4 linked regions of the Canis lupus familiaris genome follow. The protein of the gene in region 1 purifies or fractionates together with the protein of each later gene. This does not show direct contact. Links are inferred from orthologs where the notes say so. Each region holds a gene or a part of one and is shown on either strand. Other genes may lie near its edges.

Region 1 (4,149 bases):
CACCCGAGCTGCCCCCTGAAGGTCTTTTTTTTTTTTTTTTCTTTTAAGATTTGTTTATTTATTTATGATAGACAGAGAGAGAGGCAGAGACACAGGAGGAGGGAGAAGCAGGCTCCACGCAGGGAGTCCCGACGCGGGACTCGATCCCGGGACTCCAGGATCGCGCCCTGGGCCAAAGGCAGGCGCTCAACCGCTGCGCCCCCCGGGCTGCCCCCCGGAGGGGGGGTCCTGTTTGAACGCACCTTCTGACGGCTGTGTGCACCCAGTCACCTAAATCTCCGAGCACCTGCACGCGGAGGTCGACACTCATTGCACGGACAGGGAGAGTAGGTAAGGCTCAGAGAGGCTCCGCAAATTGCTCAGCATCACGCCGCCATAGCAACCGGCAGGGACTCGCGTTCAGGGAGCCGGCCCGCGCCCGCCCGCCCGCCCGCGGGGCCGCGAGCTCAGCCCGGGCTCGCCGGGGGTCGCCCCCAGGGGGCGGGCGGGGCGGCGCGGGCCCGCGGGCGCTCCGGGGCTGCCTCGGCCGCGCACGCGCTCTCGGGCTCCGGGCCGGGGCGCGCGGCGGGCGCGAGGACGGCGGCGGGGAGCGTGCGCGCCGTGACGTGCCGGGCGCCATGTTGGAGGGCTGGTGGTAGCGGCTCGGGGAGGTGCTCGCTCGCTCGGTCTCGCTCTCTCGCTCGCTTCCCCCGGCTCCCTTCGGTGCCCCCCCCGGTCGCCTGCGTGCCGGAGTGTGTGCGAGGGAGGGGGAGGGCGTCGGGGGGGTGGGGGGAGGCGTTCCGGTCCCCGGGAGACCCGCGGAGGGAGGCGGAGGCTGCGAGGGACTCCGGGAAGCCATGGACGTCGAGAGGCTGCAGGAGGCGCTGAAAGGTGGGGGTAGCTGCCCCCTCTCCCTTGCTCCGCACCCTCCGCGGCCCCCCGGTCCTCTCTTCCAGGGCCGGGGGGCCCCGAGGCCCCGGCCGGGGGCGGGGGCGCCTCCGCGGTTCCCATCCCCCTCCCACCTCCCCAGGGGCGGGGAGCCCTGTGGGCAGCTCCCTCCCGCCCCGCTCTGGGCTTTGTGTCGGCCGCCGGCGTCTGGGCTGGGGGAGGGGAGCCGGGGAGGCTCCGGCAGGGGCCCCAGCGTCCCGCCCACCCTTCCGGGGAGACGCCGTGTGCCCGCAGCCCCCTTACCGGCAGGCTCCGTGTTCCGTCAGGCCCCCGCACGCCGGGCGTCGGGTTGGGAGGAAAAGTGGAAGGTTTGGGGTGAGGGGGGTGGGGTGCGAGGGAGAGGGCGGCCGAGCAACTTTAAAGTGTCTCAGGAAGTCTTTTTTCAGCGCTTCTGAAGTCCTTCCTGCACGCGCCCTAATTCCGAGGGGGTCGCCTTGGCGGCTCTCGGTCGCCCGCCTTCCACGCAACAGGCTTGGGAACGCCGTGGTTCCCAAACTTAGAGTCGCGTGTGGTTTTTCCAGCGTTTTCACCACAAGGCATGTCGACACGCGAAGTCCTGTGGAAAACGGCTGCACGAGGTAGCTGCAGGCCAAGACGATCAGCAGTTTGCGGGGCTTTTTCCGTGGGGCCTCAGATCTGTATTTTAATCAGCGGCCCAGAGGCTTCTGTTGGTGTTCCCCTGGACCGCACTTTGAGAAACAGCGCCTCAAGGATGATTTATGGAGCAGCTGAGTGCCCCCTTTAGGAGGATTCTTGTTCACAGTGTGGAGAGAGACCATTGTTGGGAGTAGAACTTGGGAGAATCAGAAGTGAATATTTTGGTTGAGAGAGGCTGGACTCTCTTTTTTTTTTTTTTTTTTTTTAAATAGCTGCTTAATATTTCAGGAAGGACTTGGAGAAAAGTTTGTTTGTATAGTGTATTGGAAGTGGTTGATGGACTTTGAACATACCGACTGACAATTTTTCTTTCTTATTTAGATTTTGAGAAGAGGGGAAAAAAGGAAGTTTGTCCTGTCCTGGATCAGTTTCTTTGTCATGTAGCCAAGACTGGAGAGACAATGTGAGTTGAAAACATGCCTTGGTTGTTACGCTCCTAGGTTATCATTCAGAATTGGTTGGGGGGGGGGGGGGGGAAGGATATTTCAGAAGAAATATCGGCGGAAGAGCTGAATTTCAGAAGAGGTGAATAATCTATGTACAGCTGTACAAGCTCCACTTAGCGCATATACTGTATTTCCTTTACGCGTACTCCAATGGGTTTTAAAAATTTGTTAACATTTTCTTTGCATCTCTGCTTTTGTAGATTTAGAATTTGTCTTGAAGAGCTAGAGAAAAGAATGCCTATCCTGTTAGGACCCTTTTTGGCCCTAACAAGCTTATTTCCAGAATTTTGTGGCTTTGATTTCTGTCTCAAAAATTTTTTTTTTGTTGGTGGTATTTTCTCATATTGTCCTGTATCCAACCTTTTGTTGTCATATTTATGTATGTGGGTGTTTGAAGTGTCACTTCTATTTATTCTCTTGAGGATTTAGGGTGATTATCTGACAAATTCCAGATGCTACAGTTTTGACTGTCCTGTAAACTTTCTAGGATAGCTAACTTGTTACATATGCTCAGCATTTTATTAGGCTTGTTTCCAAATGTTGTGAATCTGAAACTTACACTATGAAGTTAGGATTGTTTTCATAAGGACCATTCCAGTTCATTGTGTGTGTAGTTTGTGTGGCAGGAGTTGTTTTTGCCATCACTAAGTCAATTTGTAGAAAGCAGTGCATATTTGGTGACTTCCTTGTACTCTTTGTAGGGGGGTGGGAGCAAGAAAGGATAAAGGTTTCTCTGGGTGCAGTGTTACTAAATGAGCTTTCTTTTGGCTCCCCTGGGTCTTGTCTATTTTTAATATTCTTTTTGAGTTCTTCAGTGAGTGTAAGCTTCAGCAAGTGATGTATACTTTCTTTGGCTTTATTAGTAGATGTTCATTTCTGACAAGATTTGCTTGTGGTTGTAGTATATGTAGCCTTTTAATAACTAGCCCAATTATAGAAAGGAAAAAGACCCTCTGATTTAGTAGTCATGTAGATAAGCTGCTTTATTAAAATTACCAGTCAACTTAAGAATGTGTCTTGATGCGTTCAATCTTATATTTTTATTTATTCCACTTAAAAAGAGGAACTCTTTAGGGAAGAAGTCCTATTGCCTCTGAATTACAGTCTCTTAGAACATCTTGATTTTAAAAATTGATGCAACATAATTAACTGGTATTTATGTAGATAAGCGTAAAATGACTAGTTGCCAGCTTTCAGAAATAATCCCTAAATCATAAATTTTTAGATTGCCATTATTTCTTTCCGGTTGTTAGCTGGTCCAAACTTAACCCCCTACAATACCAAGATACCAAGAGGAGAAGCTTTTTACTTTCAGAGTTTTGATACAAAAGATTATATCAAACTATTTGGAGATAGATACTTAAAACCTCTTCTCCTTATCAGGTTTGTATATAAACTGTCTTTTGATAAACCTATGTTGACTGTAAATAGTTGAAAACTTCTGAAAGAAAACTTCTTACCCTGTCAGACTGGATCACCATGTGGCTAGGAAAGTTTAACCTGGTTTTTGGGGGTAATTATTTTGTCTTGATAGGGGTCTTTTTTTTTTTTTTTTAAGTATTTTTTTTCAATTTTTATTTATTTATGATAGTCACAGAGAGAGAGAGAGAGAGAGAGGCAGAGACACAGGCCGAGAGAGAAGCAGGCTCCATGCACCGGGAGCCCGATGTGGGATTCGATCCCGGGTCTCCAGGATTGCGCCCTGGGCCAAAGGCAGGCGCCAAACCGCTGCGCCACCCAGGGATCCCTTGATAGGGGTCTTAAGTTCCGCCACCCCCTTTAAACTCCTCCCATTTTTTTACATTTACTAATAGCATTTTGTATTAAAATGGTGATATTAGATTCTTCATATTTGGAAAGTATTTTTAAATTTGTCATAAAGCAGCTGGTGTTCACACATTTAATTTTAATCTTTGTTTTTAATCAACATGAACGTGCTTTTTTTTTTTTTTTTTAATTTATTTATTTGACAGCACAAGCAGGGGGAGCAGCAGACTTCCCTCAGAGCAGAGAGCCCAGTGGGCGGAACTCCATCCCAGAACCCTGTGATCATGACTTAAGTGAAGGCAGACTCTTAACTGACTGAGCCATCCGGGAACCCCTAGCATGCCCTCTGATT
Region 2 (3,500 bases), on another chromosome or scaffold:
TTAAAAATAATTTTTAATGGCTGAATAATATTCCCTTGTGTGTATATACCATGTTTTCTTTACTACTTTGTTGATGGACATTCAGGTGGAGTTTGTGTGCATAGTTTCAGAGGTAGAATTTAGTGATTCATCAGTTGCATGCAACACCCAGTGCTTATTACTTCAAGTGCTCTTCTTAATGCCCATCCAGTTACCAGTTACCCAATCCCCCCCCTCTTCCCTCCAGCAACCCCCAGTTTCCCATAGTTAAGTAAGAGTCTCTTATGGTTTGTCTCCTTCTGTTTTTGTCTTATTTTATTTTTCCTTCCCTTCCCCTATATTCACCTGCTTTGTTTCTTAAATTTCACATGAGTGAAATCATATGGTATTTGTCTTTCTCTGACAGAGAAATTATTTTGCTTAGCATAATACCCTCTAGTTCCATCCATGTTATTACAAATGGCAAGATTTCATTCTTTTTGATGGCCGAGTAGTATTCCATTGTGTATATAGATATACCATATCTTCTTTCTCCACTTATCTGTTCATGGGCATCTGGGCTCTTTCCACAGTTTGGCTATTATAGACATTGCTGCTATAAATATTGTGGTGCAGTTGCCCCTTTGGATCACTATGTTTGTATCCCTTGGATAAATAACCTGCTAGTGCAATTGCTGGGTCATAGGGTAGCTCTATTTTTATTTTTTTGAGGAATCTCCACACTGTTTTCCAGAGTAGCTGTACCAGTTTGTAATTCCTGCCAACAGTGTAAGAGGGTTCCCCTTTCTCTCCATCCTCACCAACATCTGTTGTTTCCTGAGTTAATTTTAGCCATTCTGACTGATGTAAGGTGGTATCTCATTGTAGTTTTGATTTGTATTTCCTGATGCCCAGTGATGGAAGCATTTTTTCATGTATCTGTTGGCCATTTGTATGCCTTCTTTTGAGAAATGTCCGTTCATGTCTTCTGCCCATTTCTTGATTGGATTTTTTTTGTTTTTTGGATGTTGAGTTTGATGTAGGTGGTTTATACATCTTGACTCTTGTGGATAATGTTGCATGATGTTGAGCATCTTTTCATATGCCTGTTGCCTATTTCTGTGTCTTTGGAGAGATGTCTGTTCAAGTCCTTTGCCCATTTTTTAATTGGGTTATTTGTTATTGAACTGTAGGAGTTCCTTATATATTTTGAATACTAATCCCTTATCTGATACATGGTTTTTAAATATTTCCTCATATTCCATAGTTTGCTTTTCTGTTATTTCCTTTGCTGTGGAAGCTTTTGAGTTTGATATAGTCCCACTTGTCTATTTTCTGCTTTTGTGGTTGTGCTTTTGGTGTCACATCTGAGACATCTTATTGCTAAGATCAATATCATGAAACCTTCCCTCTGTGTTTTCTTCTAGGAGTTTATAGTTGTAGGTCTTATGTCTGAGTCCTTTATTCCAATCATTTTGAATTGATTTTTGTGAATGGTATAAGGTAAGGGTCCAGTTGCATTCCTTTGCATGTGGATATCCAGTTTTCTCAGTACCATTTATTGAAGAGGCTACCCTTTCCCCATTATGTATTCTTGGCACCTTTCGATTGTTTATGTGTGGACCTATTTCTGGGCTCTCTGTTCTATTCTAGGACTTGACTTTTATATCCCCTTTTACCCAGCAGGATTTGATGAGCCCACCACACTTTTCATGTGTGTTCATTTTTTTTGGTGACTGAAAACTTTTGCATTTTAAATTCTTCTCGGTGGTTGAAGACACTAGATAATGGAATCTGAAATAATACTTGTTGTTATATTTCAGGTCTATCATATGCAAGTCACACAGTTGGCTTCACGCCACCGACTTCACTGACAAGAGCCGGAATGTCTTACTACAATTCCCCGGGTCTTCATGTGCAGCATATGGGAGCCTCCCATGGTATCACAGTAAGTATCCACAGGGGAGGAAGCCACACTGACTCCTGATGGTGGTAGCAACGGCTTCTTTTTAGGGGAGAACAGGGGTGATGCTGTTAGACATTTACTTTTTTTCTCCCTCCCACCATCAGTTCACCTTCAATCTATAGAGACTTCCCAGCAGTTTGATACCAAATTCTGGTGTTGAAACTAAAATCCTTCCCAGGAGACAAAACTTCAGCTTCACTTTCTGTGAAAAATTATCCTTTGTGAAATGTAATTTGAACTCTGGCCAAGGCCGTAATTAAACTCTGGCCAGCTCTTTGCTATAACGAGTCATTGCTGGTTGCCACAATGTCTAAAATATTTATTGTTGGCATCTTCACAGTTCACTGATCTTCAGTATTCTTCTTGAAATTAGCCTTATTTCTGGTTTCACTCAGAATTTTCTCTCCTGGAATCAGAAGGAGTCTTAAATGCTTTTTGTTCAGACTTCACTCGGGAGTTTTTCCTTGAGAGCTGCTTATTAAGTTGAACTAATAGAACAGTTGAAAACGTAGCACACAGGAGTTTGAGAATAGTGAAGAAGGGAGGGTACTGGTTCCAATAAGGAAACCTTCAAAAGAAGACTCTTAGCCTACAAAAGCAGTAAGGTATTTCTGAAGCTGTTTTTATTGGTTTGTTGGGAAACATCTGGTTGAGCTGCAGCTTTTGGGATATTGATAACTGAGTAGGGCAATGGAAGCAACTCGGTGACATACAAGGGACAGAGGAGATCCAGTTGGGGGATGTGGCGCTGTTTTTGATTCTAGGACTGTCCCGTGGAAGGGCCCGAGTCCAGTAATTTGGTCAGTGCAAGTTTCATAGTCACTTCGTGTGGCTTTTTCACGGGTGTCGGTGCAGACCCCAAGGTGTTTACGTCCCCACTTGAGGGAGCGGGAGGGGCAGGCCAGGAACTCGCTAGCCTCTGGGCTCTGTGGCCCCCCATCCCCCTTCACCAGCCCCCACTGTTCAGGCGGTTAAAAAGGAGCGGTCCGCCCCGGACTGACCTGCCCTTCTGTCCCCTCTGCAGAGGCCTTCACCGCGGAGAAGCAACAGTCCTGACAAATTCAAACGGCCCACGCCGCCTCCGTCTCCCAACACACAGAGCCCCGTGCAGCCGCCGCCGCCGCCGCCGCCGCCCCCCATGCAGCCTGCGGCCCCCCCCGCGGCCGGCGCGCCGCCCGCCCCCTCGCCGCAGCCGGCGCACCCCCCCTCCCAGCCTTAATGCATGTGCTTCGTCTGCAGCTCACGTGGGGACTCGGACAGTGGAGCCGCCTGCTCAACGCCAAAGGCTTCCTTCCCTGGCAGTTCTGGATCTGACTTATTTGCACTGACGTTATCTAGGCTTCACTATTAATTGTGTTGTAAGTGTTTGTCAGAAACGCAGCCAGTGTTGTGTGTCTGCAACACTACACAGACGACTTTTTTCCATCAGTGTTCTACTTGAATCTACGTGTACGTCCATTCCCTGGCTGGAACATTTGCTATTCGATATTTGGTAATTCAGCAGCAGCGTGCAATTTTTGCTTGGCCCCAGAGCTTCATTTTCCTGGCTTTTAGGTTTGTAAAATAAAAAGGGATA
Region 3 (3,500 bases), on another chromosome or scaffold:
AATGGAGATTAGTTACTCCACCTATTGAATACTTGTTGAGTTAATTGAATTACAGTTGAGCTGAGCTATGTAAGGTTTACATTTTTTGAGCTTTCAGTGTTCTTTAGTGAAGAGGGGGTACACTGTGTACTTTAATGTTCCTGTTTTTGAGAAAAATGTTTACTTGTGATTTGCATTGTAAATGTGAGGAACTTTGAAATAGAGAAAAATGTATTTTCTTTGATAATCAAATTAGCAATTATTATCTATTATGTACTAGGTACCTTGGAGGAATCAACTTTTAAACCATGCCCTTAGGCAGTATACAGACTAATGGGAGAGACTTTATCAGCTATGACAAGTTTAACAACAAATATGCAGGAAAAAAAATATGCAGGAAAAACAAGAAAGATCTTGTATTAGTGAATTTTGGCAAATATATATATTAGGATATTTATATTATTCGTAGAGTGTAATTTGGTGTGTTATATGAATACAGATGGTCTATATTCTGCATCACTGATTATAATCCTTCTCATTTTGATATTTGAGGACGGAGGGTGAACACTCCAAGGAAGTTATTAAACCATACGATTGGACCTATACAACAGATTATAAGGGGACATTACTTGGAGAATCACTTAAGTTAAAGGTAAATCTTATTTTTTGCTTTTATGATAAAGTCAATAATTGTCTTGGGCAGTCTCAGCATTAGAACTTTTTAATGGTTATTTTTGCTGCTACTTTCATCCCACTTTCTATTGAGGAAAGCTTTAGAACCTAATGTGAAGGGATTTTGCTTTTTGATTATAAGCAAAAGATAAGAAGGCCATAGTGGAATAGTTTTTATTCTCAAAGTATGTTTAGTAGCAATAGCAAACTGCCTTGATGTTACCATTATTTTTCAAGAAGCATTAAAATATGTATCTGCCCTTGGTATAATGAATTAGGCGACTTAGAACCTGCTGGTTAGCAGCTTACAATTGTACAGATGAACAGGAAGGTGGGCAGATAGGACTTCTGGTCAGACAGCTTGGGTCTTTGTCCTGCTTGCACTGTCTGGGGCCTGGTATGACTCTAGGAAGCTACTTACTCTGAGTCTCAACTTTCTTAGTAAATTGGGTAAACAGAAACAATGACCTCCCAATAGAGTTTTGATATGAGCTAATTTGTGGGAAAGCTCTCGATAAATTCTAAAGCTCTACATTAATCATGCATCTGTGTAAACTGTGCTTAAGAAGAGATTGACTTTATGGTGAATGACGCTGGGAAAGTGGAATTGGTATGTCTCATATTAGGAACTTAGCTGCATTTTGAAATCCTACAGTTTGATTGAAATGAAGAAAATTTGGCTTAGGTTGCATTCTCTAATGATCACATTCAATTACAGAGAACAAAATCATTTTAGTGTAAATAAAGTAATTATTAGAGACCCTATATCATATGTTGGCTCTTAGACAGAAATGTTAAGGAGATAGAGCTATGTATGGGCTCCTTGTCTCTGCAGAGATCTTTAGAGTCTTGGAAAGACAGAAGTTCATGGAAGGAACTCTGTTCTCTTTAGTTTCTGCCTCTCATGTAATCCAGGGTTTAACTGTTTTTCTCTGCTGCTTCCAAGACAATATACATTTTTAGAGAGAACATGTATGCATTTATTCATTCATTCACTCATTCTTGAGCTCTTCCTCTGAGCTATGCACTAATTCTAGGAGCTGTGGATACAGCAAAGAACAGAAATCCCTCCTTTATGGTCTAATGGGGAGCAAGGTTATTTCAGTCCCTAATACTTCCCAGAGTAATGTTCTTTCTTCTGATTGAGAAACTTTGTAAAGAACATAGTCCATCTGATCTTTCATTGCCAGGAATAAGGAAATGGGAACTTGTTTTATTCCTTTGTAGGAGTGATGACTTACAAAAGGCCTCCTGTGGGTTATGAAGTAGCATTAGCTGTGTTGGAGGAGCAAGAAGCACAGCAGTAGAAACAGGGAGGATGAGAGTTGGAGGTGAAAAGCACGTGTGTTCAGTACTCTTACTGACACATTCACCTGAGATGTAATTTGTTTTGAGGTATTGTTGACAAATGTCAGTGTGAACACCCCCTCACTGGTAGTAATGAGCTCAGGCTTTGGCAGGCCTGGGTTCAAATCCCAGAACCATTACTTAACTTGGAAAAGCAGTTTATTTATTTTTTATTTTATTATTATTTTTTAAAGATTTTATTTATTTATTTATGAGAGACAGAGATTGAGAGAGAGGCAGAGACACAGGCAGAGGGAGAAGCAGGCTCCACGCAGGGAGCCCGACGCGAGCGAGACTCGATCCCAGGTCTCCAGGATCAGGCCCTGGGCTGAAGGTGGCGCTAAACCGCCGAGCCTCCGGGGCTGCCCGGAAAAGCAGTTTAATCTTGCTAAACATTATTTATCACTTTGGTAAACTGGATAATAACAGTTGTAAGGAAATGATTATGTAAAGTGTTTAGCACAGTGTCTGTTACATAGCAAGAGTCCATAAATGGTAGCTGCTATTATTATTATGATAATATTATATCTCAAATGTCAAGGGAACTAAGTTAATATTGAAATACCAAGACCAAAATATTAGACTAGATATATGCCAAGATACTATCAAAAGATATATATTAGGTATTATTGAAATACCAAGACTAGATATATTGTTTATTTTTATTTTTATTTTTTTAAAGATTATTTATCTATTTATTCATGAGAGACACAGAGAGAGAGAGAGAGGCAGAGACATAGGCAGAGGGAGAAGCAGGCTCCATGGAAGGAGCCCGATGCGGGACTCGATCCTGGGTCCCCAGGATCATGCCCTGGGCTGAAGGTGGAACTAACCGCTGAGCCACCCGGGCTGCCCCTAGATATATTGTTTAAATATTTATATTTGCTTTATGATCTAAACAAGTTGATGGTTATGTTCGTTTATTGCCCTAAAAAATCAAGTAACTGTTTTCTAGGCAAAACTGTTAGAACTTTGTTGCTTAATCCTCAAAATAACCTTATATCATAGGCATTCTTATCCTCATTTTGCGGATGAAGAAATGGGTTCAAGATCTTAAAGTATGTATCTCTTAACAACATAATACCAATGTGGTAGCTTATTGTTAAGCATGTTTGTTGTATGGGGAAGATCATCCTATAGGAACATTTTCTGCTTTTGACTTTCTCGATATGTAAGGATTTTTTAACCTATATCATTACTTGGGATTTTAAATTATTTAATTCTTCACCTTTTCTGAAAACAAAAGTCCTGTTATGTATAGAAAATATATGCCCATGGAAGAGAATATATTTTATATGAATAATAAGAATGTCACAGAATGAGACATTAGAATGAAGCCTTTCCTTTTGGCCTTAAATTCTTGCCTTTTAATTGCTGGAGGCTGCTGGTGTGTGTGTGTGTGTGTGTGTGTGTGTGTGTGTGTGTAGCATTTCTCACCCTTCTTGGGTTGTTTTGCCGATTACTCTGTGAGTTGTAGCATAGTGTAAGAGAAGAAAGTCAGT
Region 4 (3,500 bases), on another chromosome or scaffold:
AGGTGGAAATTCAGGGTTCTTCTTCCTGGCAGGCTCTACACCCAGAGTGCCTACAAGAACGAGCTCCTGACTACCACAGTGCCTGAGATCCAGAGAACCAACCTGGCCAATGTGGTGCTGCTGCTCAAGTCCCTGGGCGTGCAGGACCTGCTGCAGTTCCACTTCATGGACCCGCCCCCTGAGGATAACATGCTCAACTCCATGTATCAGCTCTGGATCCTCGGGGCCCTGGACAACACAGGTGCTGAGGCCCTGGGAGCCGGGCAGGGCCTCAGGGCCTCTGGGCCTCTGGTGATGGGGTTTTCTTTTTCTTGACTTCACTGTGTCCACTCAGCATTTCAACTGGCTCCTCTCCCAGGTGGTCTGACCTCGACTGGGCGGCTGATGGTGGAGTTCCCACTGGACCCAGCCCTGTCCAAGATGCTTATCGTGTCCTGTGACATGGGCTGCAGCTCTGAGATCCTGCTCATTGTTTCCATGCTGTCCGTGCCAGCCATCTTCTACAGGCCCAAGGTGGGGACGGGGTGTCCTGTGCTTCTATCTTCCCAGAAGCCACAGGGCAGTTTATGGGCCTGAGGCAGGATTAGAGGGGACTAGTACCTTTCTTTAAAATAGGATAGAGGGACAAGAGTCCATGTTTCCAGAGAATAATGCTGATTTCTGTTGAGCAGGTTGGGGTAAGGGAAAGCATGGGCTAGATCAGTGGTTCTCAGAGACCGATTGGAAAATTTTATCTTTTTTTATCTTCTAGTATGTTGTGCCTGAGCTCTCCTGTTTTAGAGTAAATACTTCATTATAGGCTGTATTATTTTCCCTGTATTGTCAGGGCCACATATCAACATGTTTGAAGTCGTATGTGCAGATAGCTGACAGTGGGAGAGCCTCCAGGGTCTTCTCGGTGGGCCTGGACTCCCTGTGCAGAGAGTAAAGGTCCTTTTTCCTTCCCAGGGCCGAGAAGAGGAAAGTGATCAAATCCGGGAGAAGTTTGCTGTCCCCGAGAGTGATCATTTGACCTACCTGAACGTCTACCTGCAGTGGAAAAATAATAATTACTCCACCATCTGGTGTAACGATCATTTCATCCATGCCAAGGCCATGCGGAAGGTGGGGGCAAGAGCCCAGATAAGCAGGATATTGGGGTGAGGGGGTGGTAGGGAGGAGGAGGAGGGCTCCATCCTTTTCTGCCCTGTGTCCTGCTCTAGGTCCGGGAGGTGCGAGCTCAGCTCAAGGACATCATGGTGCAGCAGCGGATGAGCCTGGCCTCGTGCGGCACGGACTGGGACATCGTCAGGAAGTGTATCTGTGCTGCCTATTTCCACCAGGCAGCCAAGCTCAAGGTGAGCCAGAGGAGCCTGATAACTGTACGAGGACAAGGTTCTTTCTCATTGCACAGTCCTGCAGATCTGGGTTCCCCACCGAGGTCTGTGTCAACAAGGGGAGTGGCTGCCCAGATGAGCAGCATTTTCTTGGTGTGGCTACCTGTTCTGTCTCTTCCCTAGGGAATTGGGGAATATGTGAATATCCGGACAGGGATGCCCTGCCACTTGCACCCCACCAGCTCACTCTTTGGAATGGGCTACACCCCAGACTACATAGTATATCATGAGCTGGTCATGACCACCAAGGTGAGTCTTTTCTGACACAGTTGTGTGATGTAGGCGTCCCTGGCTGGGCCAGGACTTTGGAACCCTTTGTTGCCTTCCAGTATGAGTTTTAAGCTTGGGAGATGAGGCTGCATGTGTTGCTTTGAGGGGAATTGATAGATTGGTTTTCATTTGGGTTTGGGGGAAGCTTATACAGAGTTAACCTTTAGATGATAGTAGCCGTGGCTGTGCCAGCAGGATTGTTTCCTACTTCCTGCCTGGGATAAGCAACCCCTCTTGGTGTCATTAGAAGGGCTTTCTGAGGGGCTAGGCCTTTTCTCTTGGATACTAGGGGCATGTTTTTAAGTGTGGAGGAATTTGAGTGGGAGAAAGGATTAGAATTCCAGTGTCTGGGGCTTGTGTTTGCCTTTTTCAAAGGGCTGGGGGTCAGATCCTTCTTACATAGGTCCTAATTGTGGAACTGCTATGGGAAGGACGGCCCAAGGCATGGCCCCTCTGTGACCACCACTTTGTGACCCTTCTGCCTGCAGGAATACATGCAGTGTGTGACCGCAGTGGATGGAGAGTGGCTAGCAGAGCTGGGCCCCATGTTCTACAGTGTAAAACAGGCAGGAAAGTCTCGCCAGGTAAGGATCCTCCACTTTCCATGAAGGTTCTGCTTCCTGTGGGAGCCATTTTCCCTTCAACCTGGTATTGAAGACATGTTCTCATCTGACTCCTACCCTCCTTACTTCTCTCTCAAATACAAAAGCTGTGATCGAGCCAGATTGGTCTGTTAGAGTTCTCCCAACTACTCCAATTGCTTGGCCTGCTGAGAGTTCGTGTTTTTTTTTTTTTTCTAAAGATTTTATTTACTTATTTAGAGTAAATAATTAGAGTAATTTCAAGCAGGCTTCACACTGAGCATGGAGCCCAGTGTGGGACTTGACCCCACAAGCCTGAGATCATGAGCTGAAATCGAGAGTCAGATGCTCAACCAACTAGCCACACAGGCCTTTAAAAAAAAAAAAAAAAGCCTCATTGAAAAGTCCAAATATTCATAAAAGTGTAAAAAACTGTACAGGAAGCCATCATGAATTCATCACCTAATCTCCATAATAATCAACATTTGGTTAGTCTTGTTGGGCTTATTCCAACCCCTCCACACACTCATTTTTTTTCCTGGAAAGATTTTAAAGCATATTTCAGACATGTTATTTCACCAATAAATACTTGAGTAAGCATCTCTAAGAGAACTTAATTTGTTTTTAAAATGTAACCGTTATGCCATTATCACTTAACATATTTAATTCTTAATGTTATCTGAGTTTCTAGTGCTTATTCATATTTCTTCTTTCATCCCAAAGATAATTTTTTATGATTTGCTTGGATTAGGATCTAAACATTATAATTAGTTATAGGCGGTAAGTGTTTTATTCTAGAACATGCCCTGCCTCCATTTTTTATAACAGCATTGATTAATTGGAGAAACCAGGTCACTTGTAGAATGCTTCATCTTCTGTATTTGACCAGTTGCTTTTTCATGATGGTTTTTAACTTGTGCCTCTCCCCTGTGCTATTTCTCTAAACCAGTAATTAAACGCCTGATAGGATTCAGATTTAGCTGTTTTGGGCAAAGATGCATAAATGCATGTGGTATTGTGAACTTCCTTTTAGATCCTCTTAGGAAGCATGTCAGGTCTGGTGGTCCCACTTGGGAGGATTCTGAGATTCTGCGATCCCTCCAGTAGGAGTTCTCTAGCTGCTACTCCATCTCCTCACGGTCTGACTGTCCGTGGATGCCCAGAGCTATTTAGGGTTGCAGAATGTTGCTGGGCTTTTGCTTCTCCTCTTGTCCATACTTTCCACACTGGGCCCACACCCATCTTCCCTGTTCCTCCCAGCTAGGTGGTAATG

What was found.
Region 2: the proteins of PPP4R2 (region 1) and CCDC6 purify together in Homo sapiens (co-immunoprecipitation; 3 studies listed by BioGRID and IntAct, counting the BioPlex papers as one, with this or other methods). This does not show direct contact. The link is inferred for Canis lupus familiaris from reciprocal best matches to the Homo sapiens genes PPP4R2 and CCDC6.
Region 3: the proteins of PPP4R2 (region 1) and TIPRL purify together in Homo sapiens (affinity purification with mass spectrometry; 5 studies listed by BioGRID and IntAct, counting the BioPlex papers as one, with this or other methods). This does not show direct contact. The link is inferred for Canis lupus familiaris from reciprocal best matches to the Homo sapiens genes PPP4R2 and TIPRL.
Region 4: the proteins of PPP4R2 (region 1) and DHX38 purify together in Homo sapiens (affinity purification with mass spectrometry; 3 studies listed by BioGRID and IntAct, counting the BioPlex papers as one, with this or other methods). This does not show direct contact. The link is inferred for Canis lupus familiaris from reciprocal best matches to the Homo sapiens genes PPP4R2 and DHX38.

What each region holds. Positions count from the first base shown.
Region 1 is NC_049241.1:19,298,848-19,302,996, reverse strand, and holds the start of PPP4R2 (serine/threonine-protein phosphatase 4 regulatory subunit 2), read left to right. Parts: upstream 1-1,349; 5' UTR 1,350-1,465; coding exon 1,466-1,505; intron 1,506-1,905; coding exon 1,906-1,987; intron 1,988-4,149. UniProt on the Homo sapiens protein: Regulatory subunit of serine/threonine-protein phosphatase 4 (PP4). May regulate the activity of PPP4C at centrosomal microtubule organizing centers.
Region 2 is NC_049225.1:12,639,199-12,642,698, reverse strand, and holds the end of CCDC6 (coiled-coil domain-containing protein 6), read left to right. Parts: intron 1-1,781; coding exon 1,782-1,906; intron 1,907-2,925; exon of another isoform or gene 2,926-2,948; coding exon 2,949-3,143; downstream 3,144-3,500.
Region 3 is NC_049228.1:30,246,741-30,250,240, reverse strand, and holds part of TIPRL (TIP41-like protein), read left to right. Parts: intron 1-531; coding exon 532-631; intron 632-3,500. UniProt on the Homo sapiens protein: May be a allosteric regulator of serine/threonine-protein phosphatase 2A (PP2A). Isoform 1 inhibits catalytic activity of the PP2A(D) core complex in vitro. The PP2A(C):TIPRL complex does not show phosphatase activity.
Region 4 is NC_049226.1:78,405,935-78,409,434, forward strand, and holds part of DHX38 (pre-mRNA-splicing factor ATP-dependent RNA helicase PRP16), read left to right. Parts: intron 1-32; coding exon 33-241; intron 242-358; coding exon 359-513; intron 514-948; coding exon 949-1,104; intron 1,105-1,202; coding exon 1,203-1,337; intron 1,338-1,499; coding exon 1,500-1,625; intron 1,626-2,134; coding exon 2,135-2,230; intron 2,231-3,500. UniProt on the Homo sapiens protein: Probable ATP-binding RNA helicase. Involved in pre-mRNA splicing as component of the spliceosome.